Rhinolophus ferrumequinum: one gene and its partner. The protein of the gene in region 1 binds, or shares a complex with, the protein of each later gene. Links are inferred from orthologs where the notes say so. Each region holds a gene or a part of one and is shown in the gene's direction. Other genes may lie near its edges.

Region 1 (9,826 bases):
ACCTGATCTGGTCCTCAATGATTTCTTTCTTTAAGCGAAGCTAAAGGAAATATTGAAAGGAAGACATTTTGATGACATTCAGGACATCAAGGGTAATAGGATGACAGCTCTGATGGCCATTCCAGAAAAAGAGTTCCAAAATTGCTTTGAAGGGTGGACTAGGCACTGGCGTCGGTGCATAGCCTCCCAAGGGGAGTACTTCGAAGGTGACCGTAGTGATATTCAGCAATGAGTTATGTAGCACTTTTTCTAGGATGAGTTCACGAATTTAATTGTCTGACCTCGTAGTCATACCATGGAATACTATAAAACAGTAAATAGGTACAAATTACTGCTACACGAACACCATTGGTGATGCTCATGAAGACAATACTGAGAGAAAGGAGCTAGACCCCAAATAAATATTTAATGTGCGATTCATGTATATAATGCTCAAAAACAGCAAGACCAATCTATGGGGATAGAAGTTGGGATAGTGGCAACCTTTGGAAAAGAGGGGCCTACGGACTGGGAGGGACTCGAGGCAGATTTTGGCAGGTGCTGATCCCGTTGTATTTCTTGATCTAGGTGGCGGAAATTCACAAGCTGAACTCTTTTGTACACTTTTCCCCATATAATGTTTACACTGCATTTTCATTTCATCGTCTTTCCTTTATTATAGCTATACTACAATGCTCTAATACAGTTTGGTTTTAAAAATTCGGTCCTATGTTAGACAGTTTTCTTCTATTTTTGAATATATTAGATTTCAATGCATATGTTCATTAAAAATTATGACAATTTTTTCTTTTTTTATTATTGGTTTAGGTGGTTCCATCTCTCAGGAATGTTTGTTTTTGGGAAATGTGTATATATTTTCAGCTTAACAGGTTTTGAAGAAAACTTGAATTGGAGAACCCAGTTGTGGCACAGAATAGGCTAATTTGTAATTTGTTCCCAAACTGTTCTGTAAGAATTTAGTTTCACTGACCTTCCTTGCTGAAACTTCCAGTGGGTGATTGGGGTGGTGGTTGGGGAAATGTTTCTCCAGGGTGAATGATTCAGACTTAGGAAAAGCGTTATGCATTGTAGAATGCTTAGAAGGGATAGGATTTCCCAAAGATGGGCAGAGATTCCTAAGAGGGCTATAGGGACAGGTAAACCTGGTGTTGCCCCCTAGAATTAAAGAGTGTTATTCTGGTGCTCCCTTTTGGATTTTGTAAAATATGTTGGGCTCAGCTTTAAGTCTCCATGCCTACATTATAATTCCTTAGGGTCAAAAGTCAACATACCAAACAAAACAGAAACAGACTCACAGATACAGAGAATAAACTGATGGTTGCCAGAGGGGAGGGGAGTGGGGGTATGGATGAAAAGGGTGAAGGGGAATAGGAGGTATAAACGTCCAGTTATAAAATAAATAAGTCACGAGGATATAATCTATAGCATAGGAAAAACAGTCAACGATATAGTAATAACTTTGTATGGTGGTAGATGGTTACTGGACTTATTGTGGTGATCACAGCGTAAGGTATATAAATGATGAATCCCTATGTAGTATACCGGAAGCTAATATAAGACAGTATGCCAACTATACTTTAAAAAAATCAACATACCCTTTTGCCCTGTGCCATGCACTGTGCCTTCAAAACGGAAGAGAAATAAAGGAATGGTGGGTCTAGCCACACCCATCTCTTGGCCAGCTCTACTATGGTGGGGTCTGTGTCCAGAAGTCCCAGCAATTGAGAAAGGATGAGGTATGTAGCCTTTTATACCTTTTAGTTGTGGGATTGATTCAGGGACCTTCTTGAAGGGACTTGACAAGATGGAAAGATAATACCTTTGTGTTACCTATGATGCAAGTTTTGTAAACAAAGCAATACTGTCAACAGGATTGTAAGGTAACCATTTGCCTGTTGAGACCATCGTCTGTCTATGAGGCAGGAAGCCTTTGCTCCTAGAGTCTATACCTGGAAGGTAGTTTCCTTGGTCAGTGGAGTGGGCCTGGAGAAGCCAAAACCGTGAAGAAGCCAAAGGCTGTTTATCAAGCACCCCAGTGAATGAGTCATGTGTGTGGACTTTTGTCACCACACCTGAGAGTCTGAGGCAAAGGAGAAAGACAAGCTGCCATTCCTCTCCCCTTTCTGCTTCTCCCTTGGGATAACTCATTAGCCCACCCAAAGTCCCCAGAGATGATTTTTGAGTTAGTGTTCCCACAGTTGGGAGATACTAAGGTGCTGTGGACACGAGTGATTGGCAGTTAGCAGGGTAGTGAAAGTCTCTCCCTTGGCATGTCCTGCTTCCCTACCCCTAGCACTGGGCTCTAGCTCTGTGCAAAGGGGAATTCTTCCCAGCTGCTCCTAAAAGACAATCTGCACTCACGATCTAACTGCACAGGTGTGAGCTGCCTGCAGAGAGGCCCAAGGCCAGGCTGGTGACTGGGAGTCCGGCACTCTCTGCTCTGCTGCTTTGGGAGAGGACAGGTGGCTAACTTGTCCAGTCTAACCTGCCGGGCGCCTTGTCCACGTGCTCAGGGCAGATTGAAACTCTTTTCCTCTTTCAGTCTGAGCTAGAGGCGGGGTGAGAGACAAGAGCAGTCATCTGGCCGCACCCTAGCTGTGGGAGGTTTCTACAAACACTCCTGGAATTCTGTGAACCTGTGGGGTCTGTCGCCACAGGACCGGGGACTGTGGGTCTGTAAAATTGGGAGAAGACAGACTCTTGCTCCAGGGTGGTCAGTGAGAGAGTCTTGAGGGACAGACAATATGTTCTGGCTGGAGGAGGGGAGAAAAGGTCCACCCCAGCATGTAGGGAGCAGTAAGCCAGCTCTTAAACACACCCCATGCTAGAGCTCCTGGCGTCTCTCTTCTCTGACAAATGTCCAATTCCTGCCTCTAGTGAACCCCACTCCTCTGAGTTAACCCCTGCCTGTGTCCATTGTCTAGAGAAGAACCTTAATCTCAATTTCTCAGGAGTGGCCAGGCAGTCTTGCCCTCCCCCAACCTACCACCTCTGCTTTAACCATAGAGCCTATTTGTGTCTAACAGAAACCCAAACACATGAGGTCACAAGGTGCTCATAATTTTTCCTCCCACCAGCACCGTGAACTCTCCCCACACCAGCCCCTTGTCCTCCAATCCTGTCCAAGGAATGCTTCGTGTCATACTCAGTCTGCGAGGCTGTCCAGCTAGGTTTCATTCCTGGCTCTCTTTATTTTTGCGCGCTGCACTAACAGAGTGAATGTTGGGCAGGAGGGGAGGCCAAAGTTGAAAATCTTTATGCCCAGGGTCAGTTTTGACCCTAAATCCCTGACTTTGTCCAGCTGGAATGTAATGGAGCAGGACAGGTAGGACAACCAAGAGGGAAGTGTATGCCTTATTTAATGCAGTGCCAACATAGAATAGACACCAAGGATGGGTAAGGGCTGGGACAGAATGGGGTTGCAGGCAGATGTCCCCAGGGGAAAATGAAGGAAGATATCTGGCTGTGACCTGCCATGCTATTGGCTGCTAGGCTACTGGTGCTCATACCGGCCTTACAACCTGAAGCACAGCCTGATCAAGCCACTGCTCAGAATCCTCTGAAGGCTGGCTCACCTGGTCTAACACTCTGGTATAAACTCCTTAGCCTGGTGTTCATGATCTGCATGAGCTGGGCCCACCTACCTTGGCTGTTTTACCTCCACCACCTGCCCCCCAGTGCCCTCCTAAAATATTCCACATTCCAGCCCCAATGGGGTATTCATAACCCCTAAACATGCTGTGAATTCTCTGGACCCCACACCTTTGCTTAGGCTGGTCTGTTCTCTCCTCCTGAAATGCTCTTCCCCCATGTCCCCTTTTCTGTCCGTTAAATCTAGTATATCCTTTAGGACCCAGGGCAGTACTACTTCCTTCATAACAATCCATCTACGTAGAGAAATCACTTTGTCCTCAAAACAACCAAAGCATTTGGTTAATACAGGACTTCCTTTATAGTGTTTTTCATAGTGTGCCTTGGAACTGGATCTCATTCAAAGGTAGCACCTAGCACAAAGTAAGTTTTCAATAAATTTTTATGGTGATGAATGGAGCCATGAGGTTAACAGATCATCATGAAGGGAAAATATCACCAAAACAACAGAGTTCTGTCTGTTAGGCTTTCCTGCCATTTACATGTCTGGTGCCTTCTTTCCTTTCCCCTTCTGATCACCATTAAATATTTACAACATACTAAATAGGCTTTTCCCATACTGTAAGCTGCCCTCAATTGCAAATCTGAGGCACAAAGTCTGTGTTGTAACTTCCTACATGGCAAAAGAAAACACTATGTATTCATGGTTAGCTGGAATAATCTGCAAATTTTTCAGTTCCATAGCAGTTCCCAAGGACTTACTGTGTACCCAGGTTTCTGCTAGGGGTGTGGAAGAGACAAGTTAAATAAGTCATCACCTGGTCCCTGCCATGAAAGGGGGCTATTGGAAGCCAAACCTTAGAGAAACCCGAGTGAAGCCTTGTAGTGGGAAGAACTTGGGTAGGCAGAGAGGTTGGTAGGGCAGCCACAGGACACCCAAGTGGTACAGGCCTGGAGGTGGTTACCTGGGCTACAGTTTGTTGGGGAGATAGAGGAGAATGAGTCAGGGTGGGGCCAAAATAGGAATGCCTTGAAATCTCAGTCTGAAGTTAATGCAGTTAATGCAGGTGAGGCAACACTGTAGGATTTCAAGCAGGTTAGTTAGCACAGCAATATGCCATGTGGACTGGAGGGAGGAGAGCCTAGAGATCAGGGGGAAACTAGTAGCTATCCAAGATTGGGGTTCTGAGGATCTGGAAGAAACAAGGGACGCAGCATAAACACTGGATGGGAGTCAGGACACCTGGGTTCTAGTCCTGCCTCTGTTGTGGGGATTTGAATCAGTCACTTCTCTGCTCTGGGCCTTTTGTTAACAGTAAAACCTAAAAACCTTCAAAGTGACCTTTCCTTTGAAGTAGGGTATTGGGAATGAAGGGAATAAGCCAATCTAATGGACATTTGGAACAAAGAAGTAACTAACTGGAGCCCAGAGGTAAAGAGCAGGGGGAATCCAAGAGGGTACAGCCAAGAGAAATGGGGAACTGGGGTTGGGCGGAGCCTCTGCTCCTGACGTCTGGTTTGGCAACCGCGTTTTCAATTTTCTTTCTTCCCCTTTCCTAACTTAGCCTGTTAGCTTCACCTTATTTGGTGAAAGCAGGGCAAAATAGGACACCTCCACATCACCTCATGCCCTGCCTCCCACTTTACCTTCCCCTTTTCAGGCCCTCAAATGATCCTCCTCCTTTGCCACCCACCTGGCACCATCCCAAAACCCACCTTCCTCCGGAGTAATTACCCCTGCGGCCAAAGTAGAAAGAGCAGTGAATTTGGGGTCATGTTATTATCACCCTCATGGCTACAGTTTATTAAGAAATCATCACATGCCAGGCTATAGTATTTTCTTATAGCAATTCTAGGAGGTGATTGTTATCTCATTTCACAGATGAAGAAACTGAGACCAAAAGATGTTAAGTAATCTGTGCAAAGTCACACACGTGCCAGTGGGCAATGCCAGACTGGAAATGAGGTCTGAGTCCCAAGTCAGTGCTTGGGACAGCTCCGATTGGATGGTTTGACCTGTGGCAGTTGGGGATCCCTCACCTACAACCTCTGAAGCCAGAATTCTCTAAGCCCCGCCCCTGCACTCGCCGCGTCAGCTCGAGGGCCCTGCAGGGCTTGCGCGGCAGAGGTCGGGCCCGCGCAGGTGGGGCTAGCGGCGCGGGGGGCGGGGCCGTGCCGGGGGAGGCGGGCCCTGGCGGGGGCGTGGCCGGAAACCTTAAAGTGGCCGGGGTGGCGGGGCGGGCCGTGAAGGCCGCGAGTCGCTGCGATCTTCTTTACGCTTTGGAGCAGATCACGGCGTGGTCACCATGTCCCTGGCGGCCTCGGGGGGCCGTGGCCCTGGGGCCGTGTGGTCCCCAACACACGTGCAGGTGACGGTGCTGCAGGCACGGGGTTTGCGGGCCAAGGGCCCCGGCGGCACGAGCGATGCGTACGCCGTGATCCAGGTGGGCAAGGAGAAGTACGCCACCTCGGTGTCCGAGCGCAGCCTGGGTGCGCCGGTGTGGCGGGAGGAAGCCACCTTCGAGCTGCCGCCTCTGCTGTCCGCCGGGGCCGCGCCCGCCACCGCTGCCACCCTGCAGCTCACCGTGCTGCACCGAGCGCTGCTTGGCCTCGACAAGTTCCTGGGCCGCGCGGAGGTGGACCTGCGAGAGCTGCACCGGGACCAGGGCCGCAGGAAGACCCAGTGAGTGCGGGACAGGGGAGAGGACCCGGAGCTGAGGCGCGGGCAGTGCGGGGTGGCCTGGGCGCTGAGACCCTTTTAGAGTGAGCGCTGTAGTCACGGCGCTGCTGTGACCCAAGGGGACGGGCGGAGAGAGGCTTTGAAAGAGGGGTCCCCTGGACCTGTAGTAGCATGCTCACCTAGCTTCAACTTCTCTTTCGGCTGTCCCACCCCAGCTCTCCCAGTATGTGGGCTCTGAAAGTAGTGGGGGTACCCGGGGACTTTTTGATTCTTCAGGACGTCGCTCAGCGCCTGGAACTTAGTAAGCACTTAAACGAATTTTTGGTGAATTGAAAATACATCTGGGCAGACGAATTCCTATTATTATTAGTGTGGGTAGTATGTATATTTGATACACTCATTAGCTTATGTGGAAAGCCGCCTGGGTATTTCACTGAACTGGACACTAAGCTCAGACTGACTGGGCCAGTGCGCAGTGTGGATTCAATGGTGGAGTGAAACCCTCTGACGCTTCCTAGCCCTAGAGGCTCAGCCAGGGAAGGAGCAAGGACATTACAGTGTGGGGTGGGTGGACATGGGGGCTGGGGAGTGGGGAATGCAGCTTGTCCTGCGATGGCCATCTCTCACCTCCACCTCACCACCACCTAAGGGGTTGGTGAAGAAATTTGCTCCCCCTCCCCCATCTTCTACAATGCTGGAACAGCTTGGTCTTAACTTTCAGACTGAAAAATATTAACCCTGTTTGCCCTGGGCCACAAATTAGTAAGAATTTGCCAGAGATGGCTGGAGCCAGGGTCTGCCCTTGGCCCAGTGGAACTGGCGAGTAGGCATTGTTTTTCTTTGGAGTTTGTCAAAGTTCTCTCTGGTCCTACTACCTACAGATAGCTGCTCTCTCAGTCAAAAGTTCTGTGTTACCATATCTGCAGGAAAGCTGGGCAAAACCCATTTCACTCCAGGGTGTTGGTGGTTCTCTTTCACAGGTGTTTGGAATGGAGCATTTGATTATGGAACATTTGATTATGCTCATCTAGAATACCAAAAGCTAGCCTCAGGTAGCTTAATTGGTTGCTTTGCTGGACCTTAAATATACAAGCCAATCATACTACCACCTACCCCTACAGTTTATGAAGCACACTGATTCACATTGTGTGTTTTAGATATAAACAGTATTTTAACTTTCCCTTGTGAAGGAGACAGGAAAAACCAGAGGGTTTGAAGTTACCAGACTCCCTTTTCTGTAAGGTAGGTCCAGTTTCAGCATGCATGCTTGCAAATGTAATACCTGATTCGCTTATCTGGCCAAAGGTGAATGGGCATTTCTGAACTCAAATCAGATAAAAATAGAGAGCCTTGAGGTGAGGATTGATGGGGTATCTTCATGGCATCAACTTACAAACCATAAGGTGAGCAGTGTCTTTGCTAAGGAGGGGCTGAAGCAATGCTAATTTTCCATTTGATTAAATGCTATTTGGGGCCTTGGGTTGGCTTCCTTTCCTGCTTTAATTGGGCACTGTTGGCAGTCCTTTGTCTGGTCCCAAACCAAGATCTGTGGATATTATCATCTGTCTCTGCCATCTGTTTCTTATAGGAACATTTTATTTTCTTGAAAGACCACATCTCCCTGCCAGAGATGGGTACTCTAGATTCCTGGGTCTGGTGCCCACTCTGGTCCTGACTCATTGTTGGGCTTCAGGCTGCTTAGTCTCTGAACACCCAAGTTTCCCTATTTATAAATGGAGCTTGTTGCCTGACTTAATTGATGTTTGTAAGCTGTTTCTGGTTTCCTGGATTAATGGAACCCATGTATAGATTCAAAAGACCTTGGGTCAAAAGGTTCTGTTACTGCTTTGTGAGGAAAGAAAACATCCCTATTTCAGGAAGGGTTTAGTCTTCATCTTCATTTTCTCATCCTCTCCAGTGTAATCCTAAACCTAGATGGTTACTCTTGTCTCTATTATATGAGCTGATTACCACTTAGCCACAGTATCAGCTTGTAGGAAAATGGTGCTTAGTTGACGGGTTTTTTTAATAAACTGCAATGGAAGGCTTCTTTGCTCCTCTAGCAGTAGGTGAAACTGCATGCTTTCCATCTCTCACTTCTTGGGACTTTCCAAGGTGCTGGGGGGGAACCCAGTTAAACTAAGCCTGTCTGATGCCTGGGTACATAACTTGGGTGCTCAAGACAGCTGAGATATGGAGAATGCAATATAAACTGAGAGACGGAACTTTAACAGAATGAAATTGGTTGGACTAGGAAAGTTGTTTGAACCAGTTATTAACGGTTTGACTACACTGTAGATATTAAAAACCAGAAACAAAACAAAAGCTCAAATCGTGGTCTTTAGGTTTGTGTGTATGTGCAAAGAAGATTGCTGCTATAGAGTATGACTTTTGTCATGGGTCCAGAAGCTAAAACTCAAGGCATGAAGAGCTAACTGTACTAATATTTGTATTTGTTTTCTTGATAAGCCCCCATCCACCATATATTTGGAGTTAAGAGAATAAGCTTTTTATAATGACTCAGATTTTGCAGACCTCAAATTTAGTGTGATGACACACATCTTTGAAACATCAAACAGAGGCTGACATATAGATAGCATACATTTAATAGGGAAGAGTGCATAGCCCCTTTAGTTAGGAAGAAATAGAAATGAATTGGTTTTGCACTTATACTTATCAGTTAAAGACTTGGGGTCTCACTTGGGCCTTGGTTAAATGGAAATCAGTTAAGTCTCATGGTCATAAAACAGATATGAATCTAAGGGGTAGAATCAGGTGACTAATGTGGATTCCCTGCTCAACTCTCTAATCTCATGTAGTTTGGGGTCCTACATTGACATAAAGAAAATCATTTTAGGATACTAAGAGCAATATTTGGGGAAATTACCTGTTGAAGACAGGTTAAAATAAATATTCATTCAGGCTGGTGACTGGAAGGCCATTGTGTAATTAAATATCATAAAACTTAACACTTTAGTAGTCTTTCAGATACAAAGAGAGTGTGACAGTCACTTTCTTATATCTTTAAGATTTAAGAGGGAATTTGGTTGTATATGAAAAAATCTTTGATATTAATAAAGGTTAGTATTTTGAAGAACTGTAAGTGTAATAAGATGCTGTAATAAGTTGACAAAGAAAATTTGGGTTATTAAAAAGAAGTAAGCATTAGAGAGTTGTTTTTCTGGGATAGTTGGATGCAGGGAGATGCCTTAGGTTGTGTTCATACCTTTAGGTTTCCTAAGCACACTGACTTTTTTCGTAACAGACTGGAAAATTTGAGCGATGCTGTCACTGGTTAAGTTTTTCCTTTCGTGGGATTCCCCTTAAAGATAATATTGGGCCTTACTGGAAACCCTCCCGCCTCTCACTCTGCCACCGTCCCCTCCCACTCCATTGTAGGAAACTGATAGCTCAATGCCCAAGACAATTCTCTGTCTGTTCTGGGATAAACCATAACCTGCTTATGGCAGTAGAATGAAATGACCAAGAAGGGGGAAGTTAGTTACCTTAACTCATTGTTTTGGTACTGTGAAAGATGTCCCTTCGTGTTTTTAA
Region 2 (10,482 bases), on another chromosome or scaffold:
GCCATACCAGCTCTTGACTACTTATCCAAACTTCTGTGTGAGAAAGGAGTAAACTTCTAACTTGAGAAAGATGTTATCATTTTTGGGTCTCTTAGTTACAGCATCTGAACCCATGTATCTTAACCAACTCAAGTAGCGACCCCAGAAGATGCTTCCTAATTTGGGGGAGGGGTGTGGAGCTCTGGCAGAGGCCTAATTGTGCACCTGATTGTATGAGGGAATCAGTGAATGGGGAAGAATAGAAGAATTGGGCATCTGTTGAATGCTTAGACTATTACAGATACTGTGCCCAGTATGTTCCATTACACTTTCTTAGTTGATCTAAACAACAATTCTTTGGTGATACATCTATTATCCCATTGTGTAATTGGGGCTCAGAGAAGTTAAGTGATTCGACTAAGGTCACATAGCTAATGAAAAGTTGTGCTAGAAATGGAGCTAAGTTCAGTGTGCTCCCAAAACCATATTTTTTCCTCCATAGTAAACCCTTCCCTCATCGTCCCCTGCCACCAAGTATATAATACAACACAATAAAATCTTGTCCCTGTTGGAAGAAGACCCTCCATGAGTCTCTTGTGTTTTTGCACATCTTGCAAGCAGAGGCACTGACGTCACTTGTCCTAGACTATCTTTTCAAGGGTGTTTGTAGAGCAAACAGCCTTTGAAGATAGTTTCCCTCCAGAGCAAAGGACAGATGCTTATTCTGTACTATAAAAGATTTGGTTTCCCTAAGTTCAGGGTTCCTCTCCTGTAACACACTGTGTTCAGACATCCAGGAACCGATGTAAAGATGCTAATGCTCGTGCTTCATATCATGATGTGAACAATGAAGTCCTTTGTCTCTGACCTAGGAAGTCTCGTGTCTTCTGCCTGTATCCGTGAAACTGCATTAGGCTGTTAGCTTGCAACTAGGGTTAAGATTTCAGTTTTTGGCAGCACCTGCCATATTTTGTGCCATGTGGAGAATCACCGTGTTTCATACAGCTGTGTCACACCACACATGCTTTCAACTTACATTATTTCAACTAAATGTACAAGGTCAAAAAAGCAATAAAGAAAATGTAAATACTGTTCTGCCCTCCCTTAGTCTAAATAACTGTATGCCTTGGAATCAGCATGTGATGAAAGAATTGAATCTGCTATTTTCTTAGGTCTTAGTTTTCACGTAGATATTATGGCGTGGTCATTTTGCCACACTGAGAGTGATTCTTAAGTTCAAAGATGTATATTTTTCATGCAACATGGCCTTTAAATCTAAATCACCGACTTCTTCCGGTGCTCAGCCACAGAGACAGCTACCATATCCAACAATGGAGGAAAACTCAGTCTCCAGTGCAGAGCTCTCCTGAAAAATTTTCAAGTACACTTTTCACCTTATGTGATTTTTGTTGTTCTTGTTATGGATTAACTTTAGAAGCTCTGAGTCCAGAGGATTACATTACGGGGGAAGGGGATCAGTATAAGGCATGGGGGGAAGAGAACTATTTTCATGGTCATGAAATTTCTTTTATAATTGAATACAGCATATACATATCCTTACATTTATACATCACTTTTTTCTTTAGTATTGTACATTTGAATCCTTTTGCATATCCAGAGACTAAAGAGTTCCACGCACTTGATTTTGTGTTCTGGGTCAGCCTGCTAAATTTTGAAGTATATCAATTGCCATTTCTTTTTTGATTAATATTTCTAATTATTTGTTTTCACTTAATTGAATTATGTATCACTGCAAGCTAATCAATTACATTTGAAAATATATTAGTTTTTTTTAAAAATTAGGTAGCACATGCACATGGTAGTAAATTTCAGAGTATAGATTGTATTGGTTCTGCTGCATCTTCAATGTTACCTTAGAAATTGGGACACCAATATTTTGATATCTGGTTCTGAATTGGTGGCAACTCCAAAATCACTACACAGAAAGGGGTGAGCATAGAGACAGAGAAAAAAAAATCTACAATCCAAGATAAGCTTCTGAACCAAAATTCTACAACATATGAGGAAAATTAACAAATAAGATTAACCCTACACAACCAATAAAGAGATGAATTAATTAGATTTAAATAAACACAATTGAGAGATTTGAAAATGATTTAAATGCTTAGGTTCTGGAAAAAGATAAAGAATAGAATAACACCTATTGCTACCAAAGAACTTATAAAAATATATACAGGTAGAAATGAAACAAGAACAGGTGGATACGACAAAGAATCAGTACCTGGAGTGATCTCATGCATCTCCCTTAGGAATGGGTGACCCCTCACGCATTTGCTGAATCTTCCAGCTGAGGGCCAGCTTGAACATCTCTGTTGTTCTCCAACCTAGGACTGGGAAGTCAAGGTGTGTGTGAACATGGTGGGTGGGGGCAGTTTTAGTCCCTCTCCATCTAGAGCCCTCCACCATGATATCCAAAGCCGCCTGCTATGTGGTCTCTCTCCGTTTGTGTTTTCCTTTGCTTAGGAAGCAATGGGGCAGAGCACATCAGTAAGCCTGCTACCCAAACATGTATCTGGGGGGTTGCCAGTCTCCTCTGCCTGCAGGCACACCTAACGTTCACTAGTGAGTCTCATGGAGGGGGAGGAAGGGATGTGATTCTCACGGAGGGAGAGGAAGGCTTCTTTTCAGAACACTGCATTTTCCTAAAGGCTACGTGCCCTCCCTTCTCTCCATTCTTTCTTTCCACTATTTAGTGGTGACGTTTGTCTGTGAGGAGAGGGGTGGGAATGAGGAATAAGTGGGGTTGGTGTAAGGGCTGGTAGAACAATAAAGGCTCTTCAAATGCCCCGCTGGAATATAGATAGTACCAACCATTGGCAATTTTTTTTTAATTAAAGTTTATTGGGGTGAGAATTGTTAGTAAAGTTATATAGATTTCAGGTGTAGAATTCTGTATTACATCATCTATAGATCACATTGTGTGTTCACCACCCAGAGTCAGTTCTCCTTCCATCACCATATATTTGATCCCCTTTACCCTCATCTACCACCTCCCTCCCCGCCGCAATTCTTTAAATGTAGAATGTGGGCCCCTATGGACTTTTTGGTTCAGATTTGGGCCTCAGCAGCAGTTTCAGTACAACAGGGAAAATGCCCCTCAATGTCTAGTGACATAAGCACATATGTCTATTTCCCATTCCTTTTATATTTTAAGAAACGTTAGCATACGTTTAGTTTTCTGAATCTTTTTTTTCCACCTGAGGTATTTCTTAGAGATTGTCCTATATACATGTGCTTAATATTTTGAAATTGCTGCATATATCACAATATGTACGAAAATTTATAACAGCCATCTAGTGATAGTTTGTCTCTAGTCTTTTGCTATGACAAACAGTGCTGCAATGAATATTTTGTATATATATCTCCTTTCACATAAATAGCTTTTTAAAAACCGTTACTTAGAACTACCCTGACAGAAGTTTGGCAGGAAAGACGGTCCTTTTTTATGCTGCAATTGGTCACACACAGTTTCTCATAACTGAAAATTCTGTGGCTTATCACAAGAATCGACGATTTCTACTTTAACTGCATTGCTTAGCATGTGACAGGCACTCTGCATTTACAACAACGTTTCTCTTTAATGCTGCCTCAAAGTGTAATGTCTCTGACAGACTTACGCAACAATTAGGGATCTACAGTTAAGCTGTTACAAGTGCAAATAAGGGATGAATACCATGTTTCCCTGAAAATAAGACCTAACCGGAAAATAAGCCCTAGTATGATTTTTCAGGATGACATCCCCTGAACCTAAACCCTAATGCGTCTTTTGGAGCAAAAATTAATATAAGACCCGATCTTATTTCCGGGGAAACACGCTATGGAGTGGTGCTTAGGAATGGGGGTTCTGAAGTCATACATGCTTGAGTTCAAGTCCCACCACTGCCAGTTTTTGCCTATATGACTTTAGACGTGTATGACACTCAGTTCTCTCATTCATAAAATAGGGCGAATGTAGTACTGACTTCATGGGGGTGCTGTAGGGATTAAATAAGAAAATATTCACTATTCTTAGGATACTTCCTGGCACATAGTAAGTGTTCAATAAGCATTAGCTATGCATTCAGGGACAAATGGATACACAGAAACTTTCTAGCCAGACCTAAGTTCATAGCTGGACAAGTAACAGCAATTAATTCACAGCTTTCTCTATTTGGCATAGGCAAATTTCTTGATTTCAGAGATGTTAAACTGTGACCACAAACAAACTACACTTGTTAGAATTAAAGAACATAGGAATAGAAGCATAGACCTATAGGGATGGAAGGGATTTCAATATTACTTTATATTATCTTGTGATAACTATTCCATGTATTAAATCCTTGTATGTCAAGCATTCTGCATATATTATCTCATTTAATTTTACAAGGACCCATGGGAGATAGATATCATCATTCTTCTTTTGCAGAAGAGACTGAGGATCTGAGAAATCAAGTGACATGTCCAGTGGCAACGTATCATTACTGTGTTTCCCCAAAAATAAGACCTAGCCAGACCATCAGCTGTAATGCGTCTTTTGGAGCAAAAATTAATATAAGACCCAGTCTTATATTATATTATATTATGTAAGACCGAGTCTTACAGTATAGCATAGTATAATATATTAGACCCGGTCTTATACTAATATTATATTATAGCAAGTCTTATATATTATATTACATTATATTGTATTATATTATATTGTACCGGGTCTTATATTAATTTCTGCTCCAAAAGACACATTAGAGCTGATGGTCCAGCTAGGTCTTATTTTCAGGGAAACAGGGTAGTAAGTTGTAGAGCAGGAATTTGCACCCAGGTCCTTCTGAAAATAAGATTTGTAAATTGCCATACATTTTTCCAATGAAATCCCACTTGCCCATGGCAAAACTAGCTTATGAAAGGTATTAAATGCCACCACGAGTGAGCTTGAACTTCATTTTGGGGGATTGAGGCAGAGTGGTGTTATCCATTAGGCACAGTGCCTAAGGCCCATAATACTTTTAGGGGCCCACAATGTTTCAAGTGCTTTTAAAATCAGAAGAGAAAAACGAACTTTTAGGTTGAAGAAAATGTTTTGCGCTTTAATATATTCATCCATACCAATGCAGTTGTAAAATATGAATTATATATATAGATCCACAAGCACAAGGAAAAAGTGCCTAGGACCCACGAAAATCGTAACACGGCCTTGTACCGAGGTGGGCTAAACTTTCTGGGAAGGTGATAATAAGCAGACCAAATTGGAAGATGGGGAGGTGGTGGATAAATTGTGAAAAATGTGGTCACAATTTCTCTCCTCCCATCAAAGATACCCCCAAAGAGAGGTTAAACGGGACACAGGCGAAACATAGGGCAGAAAGTGCCACTTCCTAGCTGCATGATCTTGGACAAGTGACTTGATCAATCTGACCCTCAGTTTCGCTGTCAATAAAATGGGAACATGTACTCCCTGGGGTTGTTGGACAGGGACCTAGTGTGCCTTGCTCGCCGCTATGTACGAAGCGCTCAATAAACACATGCTGAGTGAAGTAATGTGTACTTATCACAGTGGCTGGTGGACCGTAAGCGTCCTGTCAGTGGTAGTTGCTGGCATTAAACATTGTAAAAAGTCCTCAAAGCGACAGCCCTATCCTGAAAGACCCAGACGTACCTCAGCAGCTTCTACGCGGACCTGCGCAGTAAACTGCGCTTGCGCATAAGCGCTTTCCTCCGCCCCTTCGAGCGTGAGGGCCCGTGGGGCGGGCTCCGGCGGCGGCGCGACAAGTCCAGGAGGGAGGATTGAGGAAGAGGCGTGGCTAGTAGGCCGGGCCCCAGCCACCTCCTTCCGAGCTCCGCCAGTTGCGCGCGCATCCTCCACCCCCCTTCTTTTGTGGTCCGGCCCATTGCGAGGGTGACAGGAAACCCTGTGCAGGGAGCGCCGCCATCTTGGACCTGCCCGAGGAAGATCCTGAGGGAGCCGCCAGAGCAGTCGCCGCTGCCACCGCTACTGCCGCCAGTGCGTCTGCACCCCTTCGGCTCGCCCGCTACCTGCCGGGGCCTCGGCCGACCCCCTCCGCCCCTCTCCCGCTGCTCTCGCACTCCTCTTCCTCGTCCTGACGCCCCCCTCCCTCCCGGAAAGCTGCCCAGCCACCAGCAACCCCCCAGGTAACCCAGGCCTTCCGCAGTGTCCCTCCGGCCGCGGCCTCCTCGCCCGGCTCTCCGATGGCAGGGTGTAGGGACGACAGCGAACCCTGGCCGCGGGCAGGCGGCGCCGCAGGGCCGGCCCTGTCAGGCCACGGCGAGCCCGGGGTCGCCCCGGTGCCCGGCCTTCCGGGACTCCCGTGGGGGGCGAGGGTGTCCCCGCGCTGCGCCCGCCTCAGCCTCCGGTGCTCCTCGCCCAGCGGAGAGCTTCGCGGCGTGCCGGGCAGGGTGTGTTCGGCGGGACTGGGCAGACTGGCCTCGCCGCAGGCCCCTCTCCTGGCTGCGGTTCCCGGAGGCTGCGGACCACCCCCGCGGTAGTTACGCACGCGAGCCGCGCCGCCCTGCAGCCCACGAACCCCAGACGTGGCAGTCCCCGTCCCTTAGGCCGCTCTGGCCCCGAGTACAAAAGGCAGCACCTCGCAACGTCGCCGGCATGTTGGACTGGCGCCGGTGCCCTTGTGGATGTGGGCAGACCGTCTCTGGGCTCGGGCTGGGTGGAGGAGGAGGTCTGGGGGTCGGTGCTTGCGAGGTTCCGGTTTGGGTGAGCCCCTCAAAGGCCCCTGACATGCTCTGAGGCCCTGAGCCCGGATAGCATCGAGAAATAATGAAGATCAAAAGTTTTGGCATTTCGAGGATTGAAGAAGGAACAAGCATGTTTCGATGGTTTTCACTTCACTGTGTGCCAGGCACCGGATTTAGTCGTCTTCGGACAGATTTATTTTAGCTCGTGGTGATAAGTCGAGTTATCTCCATGTTACAAGTGAGGAAACTGAGGCTTGAAGTTGTGATGTGGCTGGTTAACGACGGTGCCGGCAAACTCGCCTCTCCCTCCACGGTGGCTGGTTTTTACTGCACTCGGGTTAGGCTTGGGTTCACAGACACGACCATTTAAAAAGTAGCTACAGCTTGATTGCTTTTTTCCTGTTTTTGCCTTGAATGACAGCTGATGACTCCCTTATAACCCCAAAGTCTGTCGCGTCAGCGACTACACTGCCAGTCCGCATTCTCACTACCCCACAGAGGAGATGGCAAAATTTCCATCCTATATCTGTAGAAGAAACGGGGGGTTGCCAGAGAACAAGTGCTTTCCTGGTGGCCCCACAGAAATTGTTAGAGCCCACATTTGAACTTTTACAAAGTTGGCTGCTCGTTTCATTAACTGTCTCCACCACCTTTTATCTAAATGTGGTTGTCGAGGACAAACCTTGCAATAATCGAGCTCCCACTCCTCCTCACCCCAAGACTTCCCCCAAATGTTTCCTCAGGGTTTTGCTTAGGCCCTGTCACTTGGTCATGCCTTGACAAATGTAGTGTACTTTGACTTTCTAGTTCAGTGACTTTAAGCAAGTTACTTAACCTCTCAGACTCAGTGTCCTTATCTATATCGGGGATAATAGTACCTACATTTTAGAGTTGTGGGGATTAAATGGAATTAAAAGCCTTTCGTATGTTGCTTGGCATATACGTAGTTAAGTGTCCCAATTGCATGTAGTGAGTGTTTTGTGGAAGAAATGAGAGGAGCATGACTTTTGGAGCGTTAGATCTGGGCCTAAATCTTAGCTTTCCCTTTAGTAGTTTATGATCAAGGATATATCACCCCTCTGAGCTCATTCCTTATCTGTAAAATGAGTTTTTACGGTTAGAGATGTTTATAAAGTAGCTGGAGTAATTAGGCACGCAGTAAGTGGCAGTTGCTTTAAAGATGTGAAACCTTAGATTCTAATAACCTAAAAAATTCCTTGGAAATAAAGCTACGTTTTAAAAAGTTTTGCTCGTTATCGTTTATGTTATGCTTTATAGTTGTGTTATGCTTCAACTATGCAACAGAATTTGGGGTGTTCTTACAATTTTTATCAGTATTAAATATCTGCATAATGTTAGTAAGATGTACTATTAGAGGAAACTTTTGGTTAAGACAAATAAAATGTGTTAAAACTAGGGCTATTGTGAGATGTTTAATTTTTTTTAAAAAGCTTGAAATAGTACGTGGTTAAAAATGCCAGGCATGGCTGGAGACAACAGTGTGTAAATAGAAGTATCAAAGATACTGTGCTTTACTTTTTAAAAACTTTCTATTCTAGATAATTTTATACAACATAGAGTAGCATGCTGAGCCTTTACATACCACCTATCAGCCAGTGTCAACAGTGAGCAGTCTTGTGTTATCTATATACACCTTTACCCTCTCCACCAACTTCTTTTGAAGCAAATCTCAGCATAGCATTTCGTCAGTAAATTTTTCACTATTACTAATCTTAACGGTAGTAGGAAGTGCAGGGTTTTTTTGTTTTTGTTTTTTCCTATATACTTTCCTTCTATGAACAGAGATGCTGTACTGGAGTACTTTGTTTCCTATTCATAGCAAGCATACTATCATAGTTAGAAACATTTTGCTCTGCTCTTGACACATTAAGGAGTCCAGTTTTTTTTCTTACATTATTAATTTGTATAAAAGTGTAACATTAAATAACTTGTCAAAAGTGAGTTTTTTAAAGTGTGTTTCAGAAAATGGGTGGGCTGTTTTCAGAGGTTGTAATTCTATTGAGGAAAGGAAACTGACCACTCATTTTGATTAGATTAACTACCGAAAAGTTTTACGTCCACTTGCCTGACAAATCAAGTAGCATTCCACTTTACTGGGTCTATAAGCAAATCAAAATGCTTCTGTTCTTGAGTTCCATGTGGTAAGGACAGTGTGGGGATTTTTTTTTTTTTGGTTTTTTTTTTTTTTTGGATCATTACTATATTGTTAAAGTCCAGCACGAGGCTTTTGATTGCTAGATGCTCAACAAATATGTTTACATTGGAATCTCAAAAGCAGTCTGTCTTGGCTCTGGTGTTCTTAACAAGATGTCTTGCATGTAAAAAAAAAAAACTAATTTCAACAGTAAGGATCAGAATTTAAATCACCTGAAATAGTTAATGGGTTGTTTTTCTCCTGTGTTGTCTTGAGTCAGTTATGTAAAAATTACACAGTAACACCATGTGTTCTGAGGATTAGAATAAAATAGCTATATAACAGTTGTGAAAAGATTAGTCAGACATAGTGCATAAGTTAACACAGTAAGAATCCAAACTATATTCAAAAACAAAACAAAAAAACAGAAAAAATACCCTTGATTATCAGTGTGATTTTTGTTTGTATTTTGAGGCTGATTGGCTTCATATGATGGTCCCTGTATTATTGGTAAATGTAGAGGTAATGTTGGAAATATGAATGGGAGTTCTTTTTGTTCGTTATTTCATTTGTTTTATATCAGAATTGTGTGTAAAATGCTTTTAAAATATTTTAAAAATCCTTTATTTGTTCTACTTTTAATATTTAAGAACAGTACATATTCATACTATCAGAGCAGGGATATATAAAAAAAGTTAATAGTTTTCCCCTTCCCTTTTTCTACTCTCAGACCATGTATTCATTTTTCACAATTTGGGGTGTATCCTCTCCTGTTATATGTATATAGGATTGAGAGAGAGAATGTATGTTTAAAATGGGATATAATATTGCAAAAACCTCTGCAACAGGTTTTTTTTCACAAAATTTTTAACAAAATCATGGATATATTTCCAGTTAATACATATATTTCTAAGTGGTTTTTAAACTATGTGTATATTGTTTCATAGTACAGATGTACTTTATTCAGTCATTTCCCTGTTAATAGGACTATGGTTGTTTCCAGTTTTTTTTGCTGTAAAAACGCTGCATTAAATGCATTTGAACCCGTAACCTTGTGGACTGAAGCTTTTGTTTCTGTAGAGTATTTCTAAGTGAGTTTCTTGGCCAAAGGGTGATTTGGATTATTACTATTTTTTTATTTCTTTACGTGTACATCTTTGTTTTGTATTTATTTTTTATTTATAAATTCAGCACAAAGATCAGTTTCTCTGACCAAGTATAGATTTCTTTTTAAAAAAGATTTTTATTAAAATATAGCTAACATACAATATTATATTAGTTTTAGTGTACACCATAGTTATTCAACATTTATATACCTAAAAAAGTGATTACCATGATAAGTCCAGCAACCATCTGACACCATACCACGCTATCACAATATTATCAACTATATTCTTTATTCTATACTTCATATTGCCATGACTATTTCGTAACTACCAATTTATACTTCTTAATCTCTTCCCCTTTTTTACCCATCTCCCCCCAAAGCTCCTCCCATCTGGCAACCCTCAAAATTTTCCCTGTATCTATGAGTTTGTTTCTGTTTTGTTTGTTCATTTATCTTGTTCTTTAGATTCCACATATAAGTGAAAGCTGAGTTGGATTATTTTTTAACATTTTAAAATGTATACCGATTACTTCTCAAA

What was found.
Region 2: the proteins of RAB11FIP1 (region 1) and RAB14 are in contact, whole or in part, in a crystal structure (PDB 4D0G), measured with the Homo sapiens proteins. The link is inferred for Rhinolophus ferrumequinum from reciprocal best matches to the Homo sapiens genes RAB11FIP1 and RAB14. Residues at the interface, in NP_001002814.2 of Homo sapiens: Glu1252, Ile1255, Asp1256, Asn1257, Leu1259, Val1260, Met1263, Pro1267, Asn1268, Leu1270, Arg1271, Ile1272; in NP_057406.2 of Homo sapiens: Leu28, His29, Ile44, Gly45, Val46, Glu47, Phe48, Gly49, Trp65, Arg72, Arg74, Ala75, Val76, Ser79, Tyr80.

Annotation. Positions count from the first base shown.
Region 1 is NC_046287.1:61,575,830-61,585,655, forward strand, and holds the start of RAB11FIP1 (rab11 family-interacting protein 1), read left to right. Parts: upstream 1-5,820; 5' UTR 5,821-5,897; coding exon 5,898-6,274; intron 6,275-9,826. UniProt on the Homo sapiens protein: A Rab11 effector protein involved in the endosomal recycling process. Also involved in controlling membrane trafficking along the phagocytic pathway and in phagocytosis. Interaction with RAB14 may function in the process of neurite formation.
Region 2 is NC_046295.1:71,585,845-71,596,326, reverse strand, and holds the start of RAB14 (ras-related protein Rab-14), read left to right. Parts: upstream 1-5,839; 5' UTR 5,840-6,123; intron 6,124-10,482.